2 linked regions of the Arabidopsis thaliana genome follow. The protein of the gene in region 1 interacts with the protein of each later gene in a pairwise test. Each region holds a gene or a part of one and is shown on either strand. Other genes may lie near its edges.

What was found.
Region 2: the proteins of PPD5 (region 1) and PRA8 interact in a two-hybrid assay, tested with the Arabidopsis thaliana proteins (one large-scale study listed by BioGRID).

Annotation. Positions count from the first base shown.
Region 1 is NC_003076.8:3,652,618-3,657,147, reverse strand, and holds PPD5 (PsbP domain protein (Mog1/PsbP/DUF1795-like photosystem II reaction center PsbP family protein)), read right to left. Parts: upstream 2,757-4,530; 5' UTR 2,728-2,756; coding exon 2,624-2,727; intron 2,533-2,623; coding exon 2,357-2,532; intron 2,160-2,356; coding exon 2,030-2,159; intron 1,951-2,029; coding exon 1,901-1,950; intron 1,822-1,900; coding exon 1,754-1,821; intron 1,662-1,753; coding exon 1,566-1,661; intron 1,486-1,565; coding exon 1,426-1,485; intron 1,335-1,425; coding exon 1,275-1,334; intron 1,181-1,274; coding exon 1,126-1,180; intron 1,025-1,125; coding exon 975-1,024; intron 890-974; coding exon 791-889; 3' UTR 501-790; downstream 1-500. Other genes in the region: AT5G11460 (hypothetical protein (DUF581)), read left to right, coding at 1-84; CID5 (CTC-interacting domain 5), read left to right, coding at 3,541-3,864, 3,945-4,088. UniProt on the Arabidopsis thaliana protein: Involved in strigolactone biosynthesis.
Region 2 is NC_003074.8:4,494,427-4,498,799, reverse strand, and holds PRA8 (PRA1 (Prenylated rab acceptor) family protein), read left to right. Parts: upstream 1-1,999; 5' UTR 2,000-3,031; coding exon 3,032-3,598; 3' UTR 3,599-3,821; downstream 3,822-4,373. Other genes in the region: CYP90D1 (cytochrome P450, family 90, subfamily D, polypeptide 1), read left to right, coding at 39-160, 386-470. UniProt on the Arabidopsis thaliana protein: May be involved in both secretory and endocytic intracellular trafficking in the endosomal/prevacuolar compartments.

The sequences.
Region 1 (4,530 bases):
GAAGAAGAAGCAATCAAGTCTGTCTCGTCTTCAGACAAGGAGTCTAAGAAGAAGAGTAACGGTGTGTTCTTCACCGTGGGCTAATTCCAATACTCCCACCATTTCCATGATCGATTTGAGTCCATGAAAAGAGGAAAAGTAGAAGCTTGAGCTGATCATCTGTTCAAGAAAAAAGAGCTGTTGGTTTCTTTAAACTGAGGCGGCCATGGATGATCATTTTTGTATATTGCTTGTGCTTCTGCTTACCTAACAAAAAAAAAATACTTTTGGTCTCATCTCTCATGGTTTTGGTGGGTGATTGGTCCTATGGCTATTGTTATGGATATTTATAATTATGGTTCATCTATTCAGATATTATTATCTTAATTTATATAAGGGTAGAAGCCGGTTTATGTGGCTCCCCTCTGGCTACCTCTTTTTCATTTGTTAAATTTTTATGCTACCTTGAAAATCTTAAGGAGGCAGTGGTCAATGTATTATGATAGTAAAGGAGGTACTATGAAGAAGAAAGTTACTCCATCTTTTTTGTTCTTTCCCTGTGTATATCATATTCATATGATAGTAAATCTGATTCTGAGCCAAAAACTCTGTGGATACCAGTTGAGATGAGTTTAAAAGAAAATGCTAGTTATATCTCAATCTCAATACATCTGATAGTGAACAAGATATTCGGATTTGGAAAAATCACTTCGCTTGGCTCATTTCTCACACTACAACTTTCATAACCTCCTCTCCTATCAAAATTAACGACAATTTCGAAAAAAGAAATTTCATGAGGCAGATGGAAGCATCACCAAAACCTCCATGGATCCTTGTATGGAGGAACATAACTATCAGTAGGAGGAAGAAGCCTAAAGGATCCTACTGCTCTTTCTAACACCGGTCCCATCTGCATTTTATACAGACCCTCAAAATCAGACATCCTCACACTGATACAATAGATGTACAGAAAGTAGAGGTTACAGGTTTTGTACCTTGTCCCACTGCTTGCCAAGGGTTGAAGCATTTATGGTGTATAAGTATCCTGCAATGAGTGAGATTCAGGTAAATGTTGTTACTCTACATCAGGCTAAACAAACTCTAAACTTTGCATCTCAATCAATTCCCTTGTGAAAAGTTCTTTACCATCACGTTCAGCTGTTGAAGAAATATAGTGTCTGTAAAGCTTTGATGCTTCAGCCTGCCCACATATAGCAAAGCCAGTAAGTCCTATCAAAATCAATCTCCTTATGTCTTTAAACAAGAAGAATCTGCTCAGAGTTAGAGAGCATTACAATTTTGGTTGGTGATTTGCGGACAAGGTACTCGTAGTACCAGTAAGGCTCCCCATCAATCTACATATAGTAAGCATATGAGACTTGTGAGCTTTGTAGATTCAATTTTTTTTACGTTGTTATATGATTTGTTGTGGAAGATCATACTCACATCACTAGCATGAGCATCAAGAACCGAACTCTCTTCAAGACGCTGACTTGAGGTGACACGCTGCTCATTTAAACAATCTGTTTAATGTTTAAGAAAAGGAGAATTGGTAACTGTGATGTGTTTCATGTTAGAAGGGTTACCAATGCTGATTTATCAGACAAAACAGAATCAGCAACTTCTTTAGCGGACCATGTTTTCTTTTCTTTTGATGTTAATCTTGAGTTTGGGGGACCTATCTGAATCAAAAACCGTAAAAGACATATCACGAGAAAGATAGCAAAGAGAAGCAAAGCAGTCTTATGCTAAATGGGCAACACCAGAAACTTACCGAAATAGAAATGACGAGGTTGTCAGTTAGGTCAACTCGTTCAGAAACAATCCGTAAACGTGCATCAGCTGGACCAGTTGAAACAGATTCAGTAACAAGTTAATGCATCCAGAATTCATGAAAATCAAAAGGAAGCATAGAACTTACGAGAGAGTGGTGCAGCTGAAGAGTATCTTTCAGGCTTTCTTGATTCAACCCTGCATAACCAAAATGTAAAAGAGTGAGATACAGCTTGAACTAAAAGGAAGCATTACATCAAAAGGATTCAGTCAATACCATTTGAAGACAAGCTTCTCAGATGGATAATCCAATGGGTAAGCATAAGAATAAGCATTAATATCATCCACCATTGTACCCATTTTCAATTCTTCTCCACTCATTTTCACGTCTTCTTCTGCATGAGTGACTGCAATAACAAAACTGTAAACGTTACATAACCAAAAAAAGTAGATGATTATTAATGGACTAAACACTGTAAGAGATTCTCAATTTTCTTCCTTTCTCTCTACTAACCAATGAAAGGCAAGATTTTTAAGTAGAAGTGAAACTATCTAATTGAATCTACAAGATATTAAAAGACGAACAATAGAAGCAAAGCATTACCTGGAGAAGACAATGGCAAGAACATAGACAACGGAGAAGAGAGACCAATGAGCACTAAATCCCTACGAGAAAGCCCCTTTTCCGAAGAAATTGATCTCGTAGACACACCAGAACGAGCAATCATCAGCTCCTTTGAGGCTCCATGATACTTGCTCGAAATATTGCTGCTCCTGCACCTGAACACAATCTCATCCGAAATCACAAAAACATCTTACAGAAAAAGCCACTGGCTCGAGCACACAAGAAACATCACAAAAGATAATTAACCTGAAAAGACGAGAATTCGGAGAGGGAAGAGAAGGACAGAGAAGAGCCATAGCTATGGCGTGTTCTGGAGCTTCTTCACTTTGCTTCTTCCCTTTAGCTCTCATCCATTCACTCCTTCGTTTTGATACTTTTTAAACCGGTGGTTATCAATCGGTTTATTAAACCGAATTAATTTCAATCACGTATATTAGTATCCCGGTTAAAGATAAATATAACCGGGTATCCAAACGAACCCCATCGTGATGTTTGGTGTCCTTCATGTAAACGGACACTAACCTATACGATAATAATTCCATAAATACATGGGTTTGCCACATTAATCGCATCATTTAGGTCTCTGTCTCTACAATTTATTCGAGCGATCTTCAACGCTAGTTTTTGTTTGGTAAGCTCATTTTCTTCTCTCCTAATGTTTCGTTTCTTCTTCTCCTTTTACGTCGATCGTTGACAAGGTCAACAAACATTATTCCTTCTTTTCATTTTGTTTTGCATATAATCCACTCTTCTTCGCATCATTTCTTCTTTGTCAAGAATCTTTTACTTTTGCCCTGTTTTCTGTATTTTCCGACATCGATTTTTCCATGCAGTAACAACGCGAGCCAGATTCTAATGTAACCACATTTCTTTATTTTAATATCTTCAATTTATTTCCTTTAGATTCCTTATATACTCTGTGTTACGCCATCGAAACGTTGGCTTAGGAGTTAGGTCTCTTCATATCCTTTTTATTTTTTTTTGTTGAAATCATTAAAGGTTGTTTCATCATACCTCGTTAGACCAAATTTGAGATTGTTAGATTTTGCTGCATACGACATGTTTGGTTCTAATCAATATATCATTGTTTTGTATTTCTTTTCTGTCTCTGACTCTTAATTAACTTCTAAATTTAGCAGTAACTTTATCAGCAAGACAAAGCAATGAAGCCAGGAGCATTTGCATTGAATCCACATGCAGCATCGTATGTACCAATCTCCAAAAGAGTGGATTATGGTGGCGGTGATGATGGTTTGGTGTTTGCAGCAAAGTCCCCCACGGTTGAAGTGTCAATGCCGAAGAAATCCTCTGAAATGGCTTATAAGCAGATCAGGGATGATGATTTGGATTTGGAGATGGATATAGACATGGATATTGAATACCTTCTTGTCACTTTCTCTGGTCTCTCACAAGAGTCTATCACTGATGTTTACCTCGCTAATGGCGGTGATCTTGAAGCAACCATTGAGATGCTGAATCAGCTTGAGGTATATTCATTACTCACGTTTATTTTTTGTTTGATGTAATGATCTTAAGTGATGATTTTGATCACTCTTTTTCTATATAGATATACAGCACTGAATCTGAAGAAAACCTGCCAGAGACACTTGATATTGGGGATATCTCTGAGTCAGGGCCTTCAACATCAAAATCTACTGAAGTCGCTGCATCCACATCATCGGTTATCCCTAATGCACCTGTATCGGCCTGATCTCATGAATCCTTTAGTTGTGAAGTTTTGCTTCTTCTTCTTTTTCTTTTGTTTTGGTTTGCATACCCATAATAAGTACAGTAATGGGGGTATTGTATCAATGAAGTTGATGGTATCTAAGAGAAATGATGATATGTGAGTAGTTGGAAAATGTATAGTTTTGGAAGTTCAAATCTGAGTGGTGTGTTGTTTGGGCAGATTAGATTAGTCTGGTCTTTTTTGACCCCTTTTTTTATTTTGCAGCTCCATCTGTGGATTGGATTTTCCTATGAATAATATGATATTGATATGTTTATTATGGTGTATATGTAATCATCCTTTTAAAACTAGTACCAGTAACTTTGACAAAGGAGAATCTTTATAAGTTATAACCTTATTATTAACTTGTAAACCGAAATAAACTGAAATCTTCATCCGTTTAGAGCAAATTTTCCTGCAGGCT
Region 2 (4,373 bases), on another chromosome or scaffold:
TACGAATTATATATTTAATTCATTTCTTCACAAAATAGGAAAGGGACATGAACACGAGTAGTTTCAGTCCTTTTGGAGGTGGTCAGAGATTGTGCCCTGGTCTCGATTTGGCTCGTCTTGAAACTTCAGTTTTTCTTCACCATCTTGTCACTCGCTTCAGGTAACTATCAGTTACATGGATACAAAATTATTTAATATTTGTTGTAATCTTTAAATTTCAAAACAAACAAGAGGGTGTGGTAATTAGTGCTCTACACTTTAGACAAAATGGTACGTTCGGACCAAATAAATCTAAATGTCTAATCTCTTTTTGACAAGTTGGACTTAACTCTTAAACGATATACAGAGACTTATTTGAAAATATGTTGGTGATTATGATATGCAGATGGATAGCAGAAGAAGACACAATCATAAACTTCCCAACGGTGCATATGAAGAACAAATTACCCATTTGGATCAAAAGAATATAAATCATTTTTCTTAAGTGAAAAATGGAGAATCAGTTTTGCATTATCAAACTCTAAAAGGTTAAAGAAGTCACACGAGTGTTTTGTAAGTGGGAAGTGAAAAAGATAGTGAGACAGCAAAAGGTAAGAAAAAAAGAGAACATGATGGAGTTTGGAGACAAAAAATGATTCACACGTGTGGAAGACGATAGCACACATGCCAACTATTTTGTCGTATTCCTTCACAAGGCAAATAAGGACAGAATCACAAAACCTTTTTGTTGACCGTATATATATATATATATATATATTTTTTTTTTGAAGTACAAAGGTGTATGATAATTATGCATATGATATAGAATCCTAATTTTCATGACTATTTCCTCTCTCTCTTTTTTTTTTTTAAATGTTAAGGACGACTATTCCTCTTCGTATATTAAATTATTAACTAAGAAAATCATTACAGAAAAGTTATAATTCTGGTTCAATCATTTATATATTTCCAAAAGAATGGTCTAATAAAGATATTATGATAGTCTACATCTATTTCAAGCAATTTTACAGTTTTTTTGCTAAATATGTTAATATCATTAATAATGAAGTTGTGGCGTTACAAAGAAAACCAGTACAAAAGCAACTTTGGCAAAAAAAGTAAAAACAAAGCTACAATAGATTTAGGAAATTTTTGAAGACATTAACGGATCCAGAGAAGCATTAGCTTACGCCAACGCTTCCTAAGCAATTTTACAGTTACTAGTTATTTTTTTAATTTTTAACTGGGTGATGGTTTTCTCTTTTCTGAATAGTCTCTAATAGTTTTAGATGTAATAATGAATGATTAAGCAAAGTCATATTATTTCTCCTCCACTTATATGATATGATGTAATTAACATAACAACCCACTGAAATTGATTTAAACAACGTGACAAGACAAGAAAGTTGTGTTGTTTCAACTGAACATCACTAACAACCAGATCTAACCACTAATTGTACTATATTACATTTTTCTCACTATTGTAACTACGAGTTGTTTATGTTAACACAATAGCCTTTAGAATTGATTTGGATAAGAGGGCTTCACTTTTAAGAGATCCATCCGTTAAGCCTGTTAAAGGCCCAAAAGTTGCATAATAGAAAAGCCTATATATTGGCAAAGACGGGCAACTGTTTAGGCAAATAGGTATTTCTTATGTTATCGCCGCCGTTGAGCCTTTTCTTGTTTTTATTCCCTATTTTGAGTTTTTCAAGACCTTGATTTTCATTTATTGTTAGTTATTTCTCGTTTGGCTGATGATAAGTCCAGCCCGAAATTCCGTTGTTATAGCTTTTTTTTGGTGAAGTTTGCATGGCCATGGAGAACACTAACTTTTTTTTTCATGTAAGTAGACAATTTCAGAGATACTAATCCAAGAGATGGCGGATACGTTTTACAATCACGAATCTTGTATGATCACTAACCATTGGAACAATAAGAGTATATAATGAGTATATCACCATTTAGTTCTAGTGGGTGGTGATCATATAAGATTGGTAATGGTAACAGTGAAACATATCCCCCATCTATTGGGATTAATTAGTCTCCCTGAACAGTCGTGAGAGAACCTTTGTTTGCTGCGGCAGACACTAGAGACTGTTGGAAGACCTTGAGATATACAAAAATGTAGAATTATTTTGAAAATAGGTGATGTGGATCTGGTACTACTTGATTTACATATATGTATTTGCTTCTCTGCTTACTTGTAACGAAAGCTACATTATATAATATACCTTTGATTTAAGCAATCTTGTTGAATAGGTTTCTCTGGTTCTTATGGAGAAAAACTTAAGATTTTTGTAATCCATCATACATTTTGGTATAGTTTTGATCTTATATGTATTGTGCTTTGACACAAGCTAACTATTTTCTTGTTTCACAGAGCGGGATCAATTCTAAAGCAGCCATGAGTCTGGCTCGCTAAAGAAGCCTATCGATGTGGATCGTCCAATGGAGAGAGAGCATGTGACATGAAACCTTCGTTGTATTGGGCCAATATCTTTTGTAATTGGGCTGACTAAAAATCATGATAAAGTCCGAGGGAGACTATAAATAATTTACTCATTGTTCCTGCCGACATTACACGTGGCGAAAGAGTAGTTATATGCCAGAGAGACTCCTCTAAAATGGGGTCACGTGTAGCCTGTATCGACTATTCAATAATGCCACTCTCGCTCGGTGACACCGTGTCTCTTACTTTATCATTAGTCTTTCAAATTAACTATATAGTCCTTCAACATGTAGTAATTCATCTACTTATAAATTGCTGTTACCCAAATCTCGAGTATCTAAAACTTATACTTTTCAGACATTGACCAAGTAGTGAATCAAATCCTCACGTTACACTATATTGTAATCTTTTTAAAACACGATCTAATTAAATTTTGTTTTATTTCATAAACATAGATTAGTTTAGAAAACGCCATATGCAAATGTGTATCACCTAATTCTTGGGACCTTTCAGAATTCATATATACACATAACAAACAGTCTTTTCATTTACTTTCTCTATTCAATCTCACACGCGCTAAACCATAACCCGATATTACTAATGACGAACTACGGTGCGATTCCGACGTCGTCTCATGCATCTCCGTTGGTGGATGTCGAGTCTCTCTCACGCGCTAAACACCGTATCAAAGCCGGGCTAGCCACGCGCCGTGCTTGGAGAGTGATGTTCGATTTCCACTCCATGGGACTGCCTCACGGTGTCTCCGATGCGTTCACAAGAATCAAGACCAATCTTGCTTACTTCCGTATGAACTACGCAATCGTTGTCTTGATCGTTATCTTCTTCAGCTTGATCTGGCATCCGACATCGCTCATCGTCTTCACCGTCTTGGTCGTTGTTTGGATCTTTCTGTATTTTCTCCGTGATGAGCCTATCAAGCTGTTCCGGTTTCAGATCGATGATCGGACGGTCTTGATTGTTTTATCGGTGTTAACCGTCGTTTTACTCCTGTTGACCAACGCGACGTTTAATATTGTTGGAGCGCTTGTGACCGGAGCTGTGTTGGTTTTGATCCATTCGGTGGTTAGGAAGACGGAGGATCTTTTCTTGGATGAAGAAGCGGCGACGACTGAGACTTCTGGGCTGACGTCATACCCGTCGACTTAAATCGTTTCATCTCGAAATTTGTGTATCTTTTCTATTTTTGTATATTATCTTGTTTTTTTAATTATGCGTAATCAATTTTTATTGGTGTGAGTTTGGTTTGAGACTTTCTCTCTCTCTTTTGTTTTCTGAGTTTTGAGCTCTGTCTGAAGTTTGAACAATTCTAATTTGTTATAATTTTTATTACTCCCTCTGTCCATAAAAGATAAATTTTTTAGGAAAAATATTTGTCTTACAAAGATAGAAATTTTATATTTGCAATGCAAATTTTAAAATTGTTTTCCCGTTTTACCCTTACTAAATAATTAGATAAATATTTATTATTATTTTTAAAATATATTAAGAGGTTAAAATTATGTTTATACAATATTTCTTAAAAAATGTGCAATTTCTAAAAAATTCATCTTAGTGGGACGGAGGGAGTATTTTATATTCGCAAAACTCAGGAATAATTTCTTGGAATGATTTATTAATCTGAAATATTTAAAATGATTTAATCTGAAATACATAATAAATAATCAAATTAATAAGTCAAACATTATAAATTCAAAATGGGTTGTAATGAATATTCCCTTTTTGCATTCCGTAACAAAAAAATAATCAATTTTTGTTGTAAAGTTTATTCAGGTTGGTTCACCTTCAAAGTAGGAAAAAAAGTTTGGTCTTGATTTAAGTTCTTTTTTCATTTGGGTCACACAAATGAGCAATTTGAAGCAAAAATCCTTGATATATATGCAGGCCTTATTCAAATTTCCAATGTAAAGATTTGAAGCAAAAA